Linked DNA regions of Danio rerio. The protein of the gene in region 1 interacts with the protein of each later gene in a biochemical or structural test. Links are inferred from orthologs where the notes say so. Each region holds a gene or a part of one and is shown in the gene's direction. Other genes may lie near its edges.

The links.
Region 2: the proteins of ipo8 (region 1) and eif4ea form a complex in vitro, tested with the Homo sapiens proteins (2 studies listed by BioGRID and IntAct, with this or other methods). The link is inferred for Danio rerio from reciprocal best matches to the Homo sapiens genes IPO8 and EIF4E.

What each region holds. Positions count from the first base shown.
Region 1 is NC_133179.1:9,921,401-9,928,941, forward strand, and holds the start of ipo8 (importin-8), read left to right. Parts: upstream 1-3,379; 5' UTR 3,380-3,436; coding exon 3,437-3,520; intron 3,521-5,181; coding exon 5,182-5,263; intron 5,264-5,398; coding exon 5,399-5,555; intron 5,556-5,639; coding exon 5,640-5,798; intron 5,799-6,840; coding exon 6,841-6,997; intron 6,998-7,154; coding exon 7,155-7,244; intron 7,245-7,331; coding exon 7,332-7,426; intron 7,427-7,541. UniProt on the Homo sapiens protein: Involved in nuclear protein import, either by acting as autonomous nuclear transport receptor or as an adapter-like protein in association with the importin-beta subunit KPNB1.
Region 2 is NC_133189.1:48,173,876-48,180,900, reverse strand, and holds part of eif4ea (eukaryotic translation initiation factor 4E-1A), read left to right. Parts: intron 1-2,318; coding exon 2,319-2,419; intron 2,420-2,516; coding exon 2,517-2,612; intron 2,613-3,461; coding exon 3,462-3,525; intron 3,526-3,610; coding exon 3,611-3,724; intron 3,725-4,581; coding exon 4,582-4,721; intron 4,722-6,725; coding exon 6,726-6,840; 3' UTR 6,841-6,855; intron 6,856-6,928; 3' UTR 6,929-7,025. UniProt on the Homo sapiens protein: Acts in the cytoplasm to initiate and regulate protein synthesis and is required in the nucleus for export of a subset of mRNAs from the nucleus to the cytoplasm which promotes processes such as RNA capping, processing and splicing.

The sequences.
Region 1 (7,541 bases):
TCCAAATATAAAACCAACTTCACCTCTATCAAAGTGCCTTGTTGCTAAAAAACATCCTTAAATAGTTTTTTATGATGAAATAAGACACAAAGCTTTATTCTTCAGGAACTGCCTGGATGTGCATTATTACTTAAATAAGCAAGGGTTTGCACTTCCCCCATACAAAAGATGATTTAAATCAAGGCATGTAACTTTTTAAAATGTGTTTAAAGTTTAGAATTGTTATTTTGCATCTGCTTTGTGCACCTTGTGTTCGCAGCATATCTCTGTTTGTCAAATAACAAAGTTAATCTCACAGACAAATACTATGCATTACCTGTCACTCAACAGATGTCCACCATTACAGTCAATGTCGGACCACGTGCTTCTGCTGGACTAAACACACCCTTTCACTCTGTAAAGGAAAGACACAAGTAAATAAAAAAGCACTCCATATCAAAGTTCATTTTACACTTTCATGTGACATGCTCAAAAAACACTATTTTAGGTTTGATAAAACACAACAGTTTATTTGTTCTACCTAATAAGCTTCAGAAGAATCTCCATCCTAAATTCACATGGAGTTTCATCAAGAGAGCAACATCCCTGCTGCCACCAGCATAGGCTGGTTGGCTGGTTTTAGAGGGGTTTTGGCCATTTCCAGGCTGATTTCCAGCCATTTTCAGGCTGGTCTTAGCTGGTCAGGCAGCTAAAACCAGCTTGACCAGCTTAAACCAGGCTGGTCACCCTGATTTTAGCAGGTCATTTTTCTGCCTGACCAGCTAAGACGAGTGTGGAAATGGCCATAACCCCTCTAAAACCTGATTTAAGCTGTTTTTTTTTCAGCAGGGATGTAAACAAAGTCTTTGTTAAACCTTCGTTAAGGTAAGACTACCTTTATACACAATAATTTTCACAAAAAATATCTATTTATCCAGGGTTAAAGTTATATTTGAATGACTGACAAGGAAAGAGTAGCATCACCCATACTTCAGCAAACAAATGAAAACACCTATTCGACATGCCAATGATTTAAATACAGTTTAAAACTGATATATATAACATAATATATAATATAATGGATATATAATGAGCGCCAACGACTTTAAAAATCACTAATTATGTGTAGATACTTACAGGTGAGTCGCGTGACATTCTTCATGCTTGACAGCACAGCGCGTCGTTTGTTATTAACGTTATTGATGGGCTGAAATATATGCTGTCGAGTGACAGAGTCTGTAACTGAGCTGTCATCTGCAGCAACTGTACTTTAATAGCTTTTAAACGTATATACATAGTTGTGTCGAGGCGGCTGTCATCAGTGTCATGTTGTTGATATTGATTAGGCTCTAAAGGTGTCACTGTCACGCTGAACGTCAACGCCGCTGACGCCCCCTGGTGGAGTGGAAGGGAGTCAGTGTCAGTATGAAAACAACACACTAGTAGTGTGTCGATGGAGACAGGATACATTTTTAGTTTTATATATTTTAAATTACGTCTGTGATCTTCTTTAAATGGTCTCGAGCAGCAGATAAGCATGGAATCTAATGGACGATCAGCTTCCCAACTTAAGGGGTAAGAAAAAATATGTCCAATGTGTTGAACTGTAACATTAGTATACATAAATCACATGGTCGAAATGTAAACACTGATTGAAGAGACAAGAGGTCTTGCAGTACTATTTTACTATTTGTTTATGCTTTAAATACATATTTTGACTCAAAATTATCTTTATTATTTCAGTTCAAAATCAATCATTTAATTCATGTTGTTATGATATTTGCAGGCTCGTAAAGCCTATTTGAAAAACGACTAGTTTTCCAGCTCCTCCTTGTGGACATGAACTATGAGGGAGAAGACTACTGACTTAGATTGCATTGGGGAAATGGTGCATTACTGATGATTTTTCTGTTTCCATCAAGTTTATCTGTCAGTGCCTTAAGTTTCTCTTAAGAAGGAGAGAATTTAAATTATTAAAATGTTCATTTATTTATTTATTTATTTATTTTTATTTATTTATTTATTTATTTATTTATTTATATTATTTTTTAATTTATTTGTTGAATATTTATTTATTAGTTTATTTATTTATTATTATTTACTTATTTTATTTATTATTTATTAATTAATTAATTTATGTATTTATTTATTTATATTTATTTATTTATTTATTTTTATTATTTTTTAAATTATTTGTTGAATATTTATTTTATTTATTATTTATTAATTAATTAATTTATTTATTTATTCATTGTTTGTTTATTATTATTTATTTTATTTATTATTTATTAATTAATTTATTTATTTATTTATTCATTCATTCATTATTATTTTGTTATTATTTATTTATTAGTTTATTTATTTATTTATTTATTATTATTTATTTTATTTATTATTTATTATTATTTAATGTATTTATTCATTTATTTATTTATTATTATATATTTATTTTATTTTTATTTTTTTATCTGTCAGTGCCTTACGTTTGCAGTTCAAAACAATAACCTGAAGGGTGACACCATGGCTGAAATATTACTTTTAGACAGGTATGTTTTAAAACTATTTTAGCCATGCAAAGCTGATGTAGACTGTGTTCTTGTTTATGAATGGGGGTATATGCATGGAAGTGTTGTTCAGCCACTAAAAAGTCCAATTGGCAATGGAATACCTTTTACAGCATTAATAATATAGTCGGTTAAATAGACCTGAGCATTCGTTTAGATGTTCAAGTGTAAAAAGACATGAAAACAATTGATGTACGAGGATCAGCCAGCACAATTGAAAATGAAAAGTCACTTGTGGGCTTGTTAACATAAGTGTAATGTAAAAAGATAACGGGTTATTTCAGTTTTTGGCACTGCTTTTTCACTAATCTAATTTTTATTTAGTTTAATAACAAAACATAAGTAAATGTGCTTTTCCACTAACCAGCTTTACTGAGGTGAAGTTTGATTTTTATTCACGCATTTGTTCATTTTTTAACAGTAACCGTGACAGTTTTGGGGAAATATAATCCTGCACCCGCTGAAAATAAAAGTCTTTGTGCATATACCCTATAATATAGAAGTGTATGAAATAAAATGATTTAAGTAAATTTCTTACATTCTACTTTTTTCTAAAAGTAATATTTCAATTGATTGTACCATACTTCTTTCAGTTTTGTATTTGTTGTAATGTACTGTTATTATTGCAATAAAAATAAATAAATAAATTAGCTAAGGACAGTTCTTTATATTGATATATTTAAGAACTATATTGTGTATGAGGTCCCTTTAATTTTTTGTCACGCCAGCCTCTGCTGCAAACGCTCCGCTTTGGCTTTGTTCTTTTGCGACGCTGACAGTCGCTTGACGGCAGACTGGGGCAGGGCTCCCTGTAAGATCTGAGGCATCAGATCGTCCGCGCATCTGTCCGATAGTCCAAAGTTTATTGAAATTCATCCACCTCTTCGGCCCTCATGGATCCCAATCGAATCATACAGGCTCTGAAGGGCACCATAGACCCCAATCTCAGGCTCGCGGCTGAGAATGAACTCAACCAGGTCAGTTTTCCGTCTGGAGAAGTTTGTTGTTTCTTTGGGGAACAGAAGCGCTAAAAGATGCCTTCAGTGTTTGTGGCCTGATTTTTAATTTATAAAGCTGAATAATAGTCTGCTTTCGTCCCTATTAACGCTTTGTTTACTGTTAAGGGTGCCCACTAGTTGCAGTGAATCAACGGCATCATTGTTCAACAGCAGAATGAGATGCCGACTATTGATCCTTGTGGACTAAATTATGAATATAGTCGCTTTACATGAATAAAATGACTTAATTTAGGTTATATCCAAAATTTAAGTGTCTCAGTCTTCATTTATAGTTTTCCTGTTAGTCAATTTGGGGATGTGATGTTATAATGTGACATGGTTGTTCATTGTGTCCTGATTCTCCTGCATGTAAATCATTATTTCTGCAGCTTCCACTGATGCAATTCTGTGCAATTCCTACTCTGCAGAGGCATTGTTGAAGGCAGTTCTGTTTTAGAAGAGCTTGTGTGTTAGAGAGTGGATGTGCTTGTTGTTTACATCAGGGGAGCCCAAAGTTTTTCATATGAAGGGCCAAAAACCAAATATCATTGACATATGCCGGAATAGTTGGTAGTTCATTCTGCTGATGAATAAGGGACTAAGCCAAAGGAAAATGAATGAAATCAATGCTGAAACAATTATTTTTTTTCACAGAATTGTGATGAATATTGATATTAAATCTCATTTGCCAGATTATAACCTGAAATTTTTTGGGTTAGTCAAAGTTGTGTAAAAAATTCACAAAAATGTTACCTCAAAATGTAGTTTTCATTGTCAGATTTGATCTCAGTGCTGACATTCTTGAAGTGACAATTTTTCAAGTTCATCACTGGGAAAGTTGAGATGAGATCATTTTTTAATTCGATTACGTAAATACATACATACAAAAATTACAAATGAGGGAAAAAAAGTTTGAATTGTGAGATCAATGGTGCAATAAAATTTTTGAATTATATATTTATTTATTTTGCTTTTTTTAAATAATAACAATACAGAACATCGAAACTAAGCAGCAAACAACTGAAATAAAGCACACACGCACACGGCATGTAAAAATGAATAGATAAAATAAAAATAAATAAATAAAAAGGGAGGAGATACAGGATTAATTAATGAAGATAAACTTTTAGTTTTTTAGTCAAATCAAATCATGTGGTACTGTTTTAAAATAATAAAAAAATGGATTCCAAATTTTTTTAATAGTTCATCTTTTCCTCTGAAAGAATATGTGATTTTCTCCAATGGTATACAGTTGCAAACTTCTAAGATCCACAGTCTATTTGACATCAGTGTCTGTTTTCCGCAATTGCATTTTTATTTTGGCAGAAATTAACTTTATTAGTTCATTGCATTACATTTCTGACATCTAATAAGTTCTTAGTCATACTTATTATAAAGAAAAAATAATATCCTGTGCTTTCTTTGTGCTATTTTGGCTTATCTGAATTGAATGATTGGCTTTTGGTGAATTGAACCATCATAGATCAACAATATTTTAATAATTTTGGTGCCACGTTGCATTGGTATTTGAGAAAACATGTATATAAAGAGAAATCCCTGAGCTTTGTAGATTGATTTTGCTTATAAAAATAAAAACTATTATTCTCTTGTAAAAAAAAAAATGTCTCTTTTTTTTTCAGTCCTACAAGATCATCAACTTCGCCCCAACTCTTCTACAGATCATAGTGTCGGAGCAGGTGGAGTTTCCCGTGCGACAGGCAGGTAAGAACCTCTCTTTTCCTACAGCCAGTCACAATCCCCTTCCCAATTGAATCGTTCAGGGTCGAGATCTTCCCCTTTACCAATGGTCAATTTTGATTGGATGAAATAACCAATGACGTCACATTCATCCTCCAGCTGCCATCTACCTGAAGAACATGGTGAGTCAGTACTGGCAGGACCGGGAGCCTACACTGGGAGAGGTGGTGTTTCCCTTCAACATCCATGAAAATGACCGCGGACAGATCCGAGAAAACATGGTGGAGGCCATTATTCGTTGCCCTGAGTCCATAAGGCAAGTCACAATGTTTTCATTTCATAATGACAGTCGTTAGAACCTAAAAATTAACTCTCTTTTTTTGTTGTTGTTGTTTGGCAGGGCTCAGTTAACAGTATGCTTGCGGGCCATAATAAAGCATGATTTTCCTGGCCGGTGGACGGGTGTAGTGGACAAGATTAACCTGTATCTGCAGTCGCAGAACAGTGGCAGCTGGTACGGCAGTCTGCTCGCACTTTACCAGCTCGTCAAAAACTATGAGTGAGTGAAACACGACACTTTTGACTCTCTTGAGGATTTGTTGTTGTAAAAGTTCCCGTGATTGTTATGAAGGTGTCCTAAAATACATTTGCATCCATCCAAGGTTAAAAACACATAAGCTGCGTCCCAAATGGCACACTATGCACTCATGCACTATGTACTTATGCACTTACACACTCAACAGGATAGTATATGTATGTAGTATCGTCCCAAATGGCACACTAATGTTTTTTTACTAAGCGGAAATTCAAACCGTCTCCCTAATGATGTTTGACGGTTGCCTTTTCAGTGAAATAAACAACCGAATTATCAAATAATACCTGCCGTGAGTATAACCGCATTCTCCATCGGGAGGCGCTATGATCCCTCTCGTAGGAGAATTTTGCTTTTACTATCCAAAATAAATAAAGGTATCCAACATATGCGCCCGATAGCTCCGCCCCTTCCGCTACGTGAGCAAAACTGCGGTCGTTGAGTGCGTGAAGTGTCCATCATTGCACACTTCATTTTAGCGGCTAAATGAGTGCATCATCCAGGTAATTAAAGTGCACTTAACTATTTATAGAGTTTTTAGTGTAAACACACTATTTATACTACAAAATGGCGTAGAACAGTGCATAAGCATGCGATTTGGGACGCAGCTATACATTTAAAAAAATGTATGTATATAGTCATGTCTGAAATCATTCGTACGCCAGGGGAATAAAAGACTCTTTTAAAAGATTCTTCTCATTATTGCAGGATATTAAATCTCAAAATATCAAGCTATGATCTTGTAAGTGAGAAGTTGAAAATGTTTTTGCACAAACTCAGAACTGCTAGATATATATTCTGAATTAGACCTGCTATGTTTGAAGTTTGATCCTTCTGTTTGTGTTTTATGGGTGTTTCCCAGAGATGGGTTGCAGCTGGAAGGGCATCTGCTGCGTAAAACATATGCTGGATAAGTTGGCGGTTCATTCTGCCGTGGCGACCCCTCATTAATAAAGGGACTAAGCCGAAAAGAAAATGAATGAATGTTTGTGTTTTGTGTGTTTGTCAGGTTTAAGAAGGCTGAGGAGCGGGACCCGCTGTTAGCAGCCATGCAGATCTTCCTGCCGCGGCTTCAGCAGCTCATCACTCAACTCCTGTCTGATGCCACATTCATCTCAGTCCTCATCCAGAAGCAGATCCTCAAGATTTTCCATGCACTTGTACAGGTACTTTTGGAATGCCCTATGTTTAATATTATCAGGTGACGATTTTCATCTGGAGAGACTTTACAGGAAATATTGTTAAATGTGAATCCTTTGAAAAAGCTAGAATTATTATTTTTTTTATGAATTGAATTTAGAATTGTGTGTTTGTGTTTTGCAGTATTCGTTCCCCCTACAGCTGATTAACAACACAGTCATGACGCACTGGATGGAGATCCTACGGACAGTTGTGGATCGGGACGTCCCGGCTGTAAGTCTGTGGAATGTTATTTCTCATTGTTGAGCTCTACTTTTTCGGTAGATTTGGTTTAGTGAGTGTTTGCGGGGGGGTTTTCAGGAAACTCTGGAAGCTGATGAGGACGATCGACCTGAGCTGATCTGGTGGAAGTGCAAGAAGTGGGCTCTGCATATACTCACAAGGATTTTCGAGAGGTTAGCAAACAGTAGTGAATTCACAATGGCAGACAGTTCTTACAACAGAACAGCACCCAATGATTATAATTTTTCTTAATATAATACAAGGAATATTTTAATGTAATTTTTTATT
Region 2 (7,025 bases), on another chromosome or scaffold:
CACAGTGAATTAAATAGTGTTAATGTTGTTTAGAAGTCATACGTGCATGCTAATTCCGATTGAATATTCAATGTAATATGGTAACCAATATAGACACTGCTAAATGAATAAATGTGTGAATTTAAACCAACTTAACCTCTATCAGTTTTCTTTCATTAGGGTATATAAGCAGCTTTTGAGAACTTTTTAACTAAATAACCTTTTGAACAAAACATATTAGGTTAAATTATTCATCTAGTAGCACCCATAAAGAAATTTACTTGTTATTTTTTTAAGTATTTATACCCATTTTATTTATTCACCCTCAAGATTTTGTTGAAATGCTGTTTTGAGGTTATTCAGAGTTTCTGAAACTAAAATGGTGCCATAAGTCTGTTTATTTAATTAGATTATTTTATATATTTTTGTAATTGAGGTAAAAAAGTTTTTTATATTAGCATATTTGGATTTTCTTAATATAATTTCAGAAAAGTATTATTTGCCAATTCTAAATGGGGACTTTATATTAGTAGTCAAGGACTGTATTAAATGAACGAATGTGCGGATATAAATCCAACTTTACCTCAGTATTTTGTAGCGTATACAGTGTGATCTAGGCAGGTGACGATCACCGTTTTCAAGGTATACCACGGTTTGGAAAAGTCAAGGTTTTAAAACTGTCAAAATTTTCTGTAATACCGCACCGTGTAAGATTTTTTATTTACTTTTTGTTTGTTTTTGAAGACAACAGTTTCTCAAGCTGGAAAGATATCCAAAGATTCATGTCTATGATTCATTTTCATTATATATCTTGACATGTTTACTGCTCCAGATTTGTAAAAAATCTTTCAAAAAATAAAATATATTGTTTTCAAAAAGGAAAAAAAAATTAAAGCAGTAATCGAAATACCGTGATACCTGGAAACCATGATATTTTTATCCAAGGTTATTACACCGTCAGAATCATATACCGGCCAATGCCTTGTCTGGTAATGTAGTGTGTATTAGGCAGAGCTAATGGAAAAGTATTAGTAAGTAATAGTGCTCACTTTAAGCCTGATAATACATTCCAGGGAGTTTGACCTGGCTTAGTTTTTAGTACTAGGACAAAACTTTGCTAGTGCTTCAATATGAAAATGCTAGTTATTTATGTTTAATGTTATTTACATTAGTGCCAAAAAGCTTTTGAAAAAATTTAAGTCCTTTTTTTATTTCTTCGACTCATTTAGGACTAGATTTTGTTAATAAATTCTAATATTTATGCATATACCATTATAACATGTTTCATCTGAAAGAGAATGCTTTTGAAAGTGGAAAGCCAGAGTAATTTTCTTATTATTTTCATTATTTGTATTTTTTGTTCATTTTTTTTTTTTTTTTTGTTAGGGCCATTGCTCACTCGTGGGGGCTTTTGTCACCCGTTTAGAAAGTCATTAACAATACAAAAAAAAAAAAAAAAAAAATCTGATTGCTCTCTTAATAGCGTTTTCTCATTTTAAAACAAAAAACTGCATAGACCAGTGGTTCTCAAACTGTGGTACGCGGGCTGCCTTCTAGTGGTACGCAGAGTAATCCGATATGCCATATCTACATGCAACAGATATTTAAATATTTATAAAAAATGACTCGTATATGAATATGATGACATATAGCCTATATTTATGAGGTCCAAGCAGCATTTCCAGGCTTTTATACTACAGGTGAACACTTTACATTTAAGTACAGGTGTTTTTTCTTTACTTTTTAAGAACAGTAGCCTACCATTTTTAATTAACTTTTAAAATTACATTTTAATTTAAACATTGAAATTTTATTTATTTGTTTTTTTACACATAAGCACAGCAGTGTTAATGTTCAAACTTTTTTTTTTTAAACTGCAGAACTGTAGCTGCTTAATTAGGCCTACTACGCTACTGTATTTCAATACTGGTTAAATGGTGGTACTTGGAGGGACAATTTTTTCTGAGGTGGTACTTGATGAAAAAAGTTTGAGAACCACTGGCATAGACTATATAAGTAATAAATAAAAACATGTTAATTAATTAGCTAACTGAGTCTTCTAATTTATTTCCATTCACATTTCATTATAGTATTTATTTCCACTCATGGCAGGCATGAAAATAGTAAAAAATATTGGTAAAAATATTGAATGTGAAACAGTTTGTCAGTAATTCAACAAATGAAAAAAAATGTTATGGGGACTTAAAATATTGCTTTTTACAATAGTTTTTAAAATGGCAAAATATGGATTATTTTCCCATAAAAGTCTCTCATTCAGTATGCAGAGCTTTAGATGCATATTTTGTTAATATAACAGTTGTTGTTTTCTATTTCTGTAGGAAACTTCAACAAATCCATCAAATTCAGAAGAAAAAAATGAGGAAAATGAGCAACAGATCGTGAGTCTTGAAGATTACATTAAACATCCACTGCAGAACAGGTAATGCCACCCAGGCCACATGTTTTATGTATTTTGATGTGATACGATGGCAAAATATCTAGAGGAGTTATCGTGCCCCCCCCTTTTTTTTCCTCAGATGGGCTCTTTGGTTCTTTAAAAATGACAAAAGCAAAACATGGCAAGCTAATCTCCGTCTCATCTCAAAGTTTGACACCGTGGAGGACTTCTGGGCGTAAGTATTAACTTGACACAATTGAAGCAACTCAAATAACATGATTGATAATATTAAAACATATGATAAAAAAGACCATCTGTTGCGTTTTATGTTTTCTTTTTTAAGTCTGTTATAAGTTTATAAATGTATATGTTATTAAAGCTCATAGCCTACCACAACAAATATTGTATATTGTAAGTATTTAACAGAAATTAGACTCCAATCTACCATAAATGGATAGTTTACCCAAAAATTTTAATTTACTCACTATTTACATCCCCTCAAGAGTGAATTGTACCTTTAAAATGAATCCTGGTGATAATGGTGAAGTATTTCTGACTGGCCAATAGAAAACTCTGGAAGCAAAGGCTTTATAAACAAAAACATTTTAGACAGAGAATGCCTGAGAATATGACCCTGCAATAATGTACAATATGGGAACAATATTGTTTTTTTCCATTGTTAAAAGCTGTTATCCTATTTTAGTACAACCAATGCACAAAACAGTGACTTAAAAATCATAATAAAAATACATTTATGTCTGTGTGAGTCCCTGGACAACAAAATCAGTCTTCTGTTGTAAGGGTATAGTTTTTTGGAATGGCCAAAAATTACACTACGAGTCATTTCTATGGCAAAAATCAGGAGAATTTTGTATAAAGATTTGTAAATGTATGTCTGTAAATCTATTCAAACTTAATTTTTGCTTAGTAATATGCATTTCCGTCTCGATAATCAAATTTGAGCAACTTTAATGTGGATTTTCTCTCTATTTTTATTTTATTTTTTTTAACCCTAAGACTTCAGATTTGTAAATTGTTGTATCTTACAACAAGCCATTAACAAGTATTGCTGTTATATTTTCAGGTTATACAATCACATTCAGTTATCAAGTAACTTAATGTCAGGATGTGATTACTCCCTTTTCAAGGTAAGACATGATAAAGCAGAATAACTGTATGATAGTTTTGTTGAATCCATGAAAATGAGTCTGTGCTCTTGTGTTTTTGTGATAGGATGGCATTGAGCCCATGTGGGAAGATGAGAGAAACAAGCGGGGTGGCCGCTGGCTGATCACCCTCTCCAAACAGCAGCGCAGAGCTGACCTGGACCGCTTCTGGCTGGAAACAGTAAGTCCAAATTCTCCCTAGTCCATATTAGCTGCTGATTTCACTGTGCTAAAATCACCAATAGTTACTGAAAAAGTTTTATTATGAATTTTAAATATCTTTTCGTATTTTGTTATGTCGTTGACTGTAATATGAGTGAACCTTACACATTTTATATTTTCAACCAATAAAAACAGGATATGAGGCATAGGCTAATCGTGAATATATACAGTAGTCAGCATTTGAAGTGGATCCAAAATCCTGTTGTTGTATGATTATTAGTGGTGAGCAAAAATGAATCTCATCCAAAATAAAAGTTTGTTTTGATTTAGGTGTGTACTGTGTACGTTTATTATGTACATATAAATACACACAGGCATGCATATATTTGAGAAAATGTGTATTTATATTTCCATATAAAATGTGTATATGATACTAATTGTGTATAAATTTAAATATCCATGTAATAAAAATGTTTTGTAGAGCTTTGTTTCTATCAAATATACATAATAAATATATAAAATTCACACATATGACATGTTAAAACAAACGTGTATTTTTGATGCGATTAATCACAATAAATGTTCCTACATCGCTTATAATTATTAAATAATAATAAATTAGATTTTTTTGATAAAATTAAATTTTTTTGTTTTATTACCAAATATTGATATTCTATTTCAATGTAAAAGATTTGATCCACTTTAAATATTGACTAAAATAGCTTAACAATCACTAATCACTTGATTAAAACAACGTTATTCTCAGTATACCTAATTTCCTTTTTATGAGCTCAAATATTCAAATGTAATATTAGAACATATACGTGTGTGTTTATATATAGACTAAAGAATGTTCTTTCTCATTTATTATTTTAGCTTTTGTGCCTTGTTGGAGAAGCGTTTGATGACCACAGTGATGATGTCTGTGGTGCTGTCGTTAACATCCGAACAAAGGGAGACAAAATCGCAATATGGACGACAGACTACGAGAACAAAGATGCCATCGTACACATAGGGTAAACATTACACTTTTATACTGTACATGAAACTGAAATGATTTTTTTAATGCTAAAATTAAATGTTATTATTTGTACATACTGTTGTGAAATTTTTCCAATCATATGAAATATTATAGATATTCTAAATAATGCATTTAACATCAAGACACCTTACATGAAAATAAATGAAAAACACTTTGCAAATTCTAATTTGTTAGACCAGGCATGAACAAACTGTCAATACTACATGTCAAATTGGACATTCTAAGTTGACTCATTTGTATTTACTCTTACCATGAAACATATTTTGTTGGAATGTGAAAGTTTAAATACCATTAGACAACATTTTTATAAGGAAAGTACTGTGATAGATATTTTCCAAAAAGGTAACACCAAGCAGAGTGTTAAATTATTTATCAAAAATTGAACTGAAAAATCATATTTAACTTTGAATATATTTTTGTGTGAATTTTATTTATTTATATTCTAAATATTTGTCTGAGTCACTTTTGTTGTAATATGAATTAGTTTTTATCATGTAATATTTTCTATCTATATCCATTTTGCCATGAATTAACCATACGTTGCTGATGTGGGAATAAATAAATAACATCAAGCCACCAATCCAAACATTTAGGTTGTTGCTGATTTAAAAAGGTTAAATTGTAAGGATTTGTGGAGTGAGAGGAAACGAAATGCAGTTAGAATTTTTTGCAAACTGAATTGCGACAGATTTTGTGACTTAGCTGCATATTTTTTCAGGTTTTCAGGTTCATTTTCTTTTTGGCTTAGTCCCTTTATTAATTCGGGTCGCCACAGCGGAATGAACCGCCTACTTATCCAGCAAGCTTTTACGCAGCGCATGCCCTTCCAGTCGAAACCCATCTCTGGGGAAAAAAAAGCTACTACTTGTCAACTATTTTTGGTTATTAGTCATGCAGATTATGCCTTGACTTTGTCTATAAGGCTACGTTCACACTGAGCCAAATGTGGCTCGAATTAGATTTTTTCCCCCTCATGTTACTCAGGTAATGACAGTGTGAACAACCCAAACGCATGGAATCTGATCTTTTCAGGTCAGATCTGTGCCACTTTCATATGTAGTCTTAAATTAGACACAGATCTGATGTTTTGCAATGCGACTGCAGTGTGAACGGTTATGTCGGATTTCTTGTGACTTTTACATAATCTTCGAGCAACATGCGTCATTATTCTGTGCTGCAAACATCCTGTACTCCTCAGCAGCATCGTAGAACGGCACACAGGGCGTTTACTGCACCACAGAAAGCTTGTTGTTTTTTTGAAAAAGATTTTGGAGGCAAAACTGGTGTTTGTTAACGATTGAGGCGCGGGTTGATCGTGAAGCTGAAGAGCATCGTGGGTGTTGCAAATAGGGACTCTGTGTGCAAAGGAGGATGAACTTTCTCTCCGAGAGAAAAAAGGGCAGGTGCTCGAGCATCCAAACCCCCCTTCTGCACGTGTCTACTGTTTATAATGAAGTAAAATTAAATAACTGCAAATGGAGATAAAACAACTCCGCCTTTACAGTTTAGTCTTACTCTGTTCATTAACCCTTGATGAGTTCACTGCACCGGTGGTCATACAAACGTGCACCGCTGTTGTCATAAATCACAAACGATCAGTGATTTCAATCACAAGTGACTTGTTTTAGATTTCAAATGGCAGAATACACATTAGTAGTAGCAGAACAATCATTTACGGTTCATGAAACACACCATGGTTGTCTGTGAAAAGGGCAATAATCATATAAGCATGGTCTGACAACGTGCTTACTTCATACAGTATCACAAGTGCATAATTAGACATTTTGTGCTGTCTGTAATGTACTTTTGCGCAAGCGGGTCACTTTAGGATCTGTTCACCCTGCAAATCTGAAATTGGCCACATTTATAAGAGCATCGTCAACAGCCATACACAAAAAAAAAAATCTGATTTGAGCACTAAACCTAGCAGTGTGAACGTAGCCTAAGTGTCTACATTTTGTCTTTTCCTCCTTAACAGGCGTGTGTACAAAGAAAGATTAGGTGTGCCACCAAAGGTCATCATTGGATACCAGTCACATGCGGACACGGCCACCAAAAGTGGTTCCACCACCAAGAACAAGTTTGTTGTTTAAGGAGCCTTTTAAACAGTAGGTATTTTTATCATTCCTTTAACATTTTCATATCTTTACATCGATTACTCATGCCGTGATTTAATTTCAGATGCTGCATCAACAGTCTGAATCTATATCAAATCCAGATCTTCATCAACAGTGACATATAAACAGACAAGCAGGATCTGACCTTTCCACAGGATTCT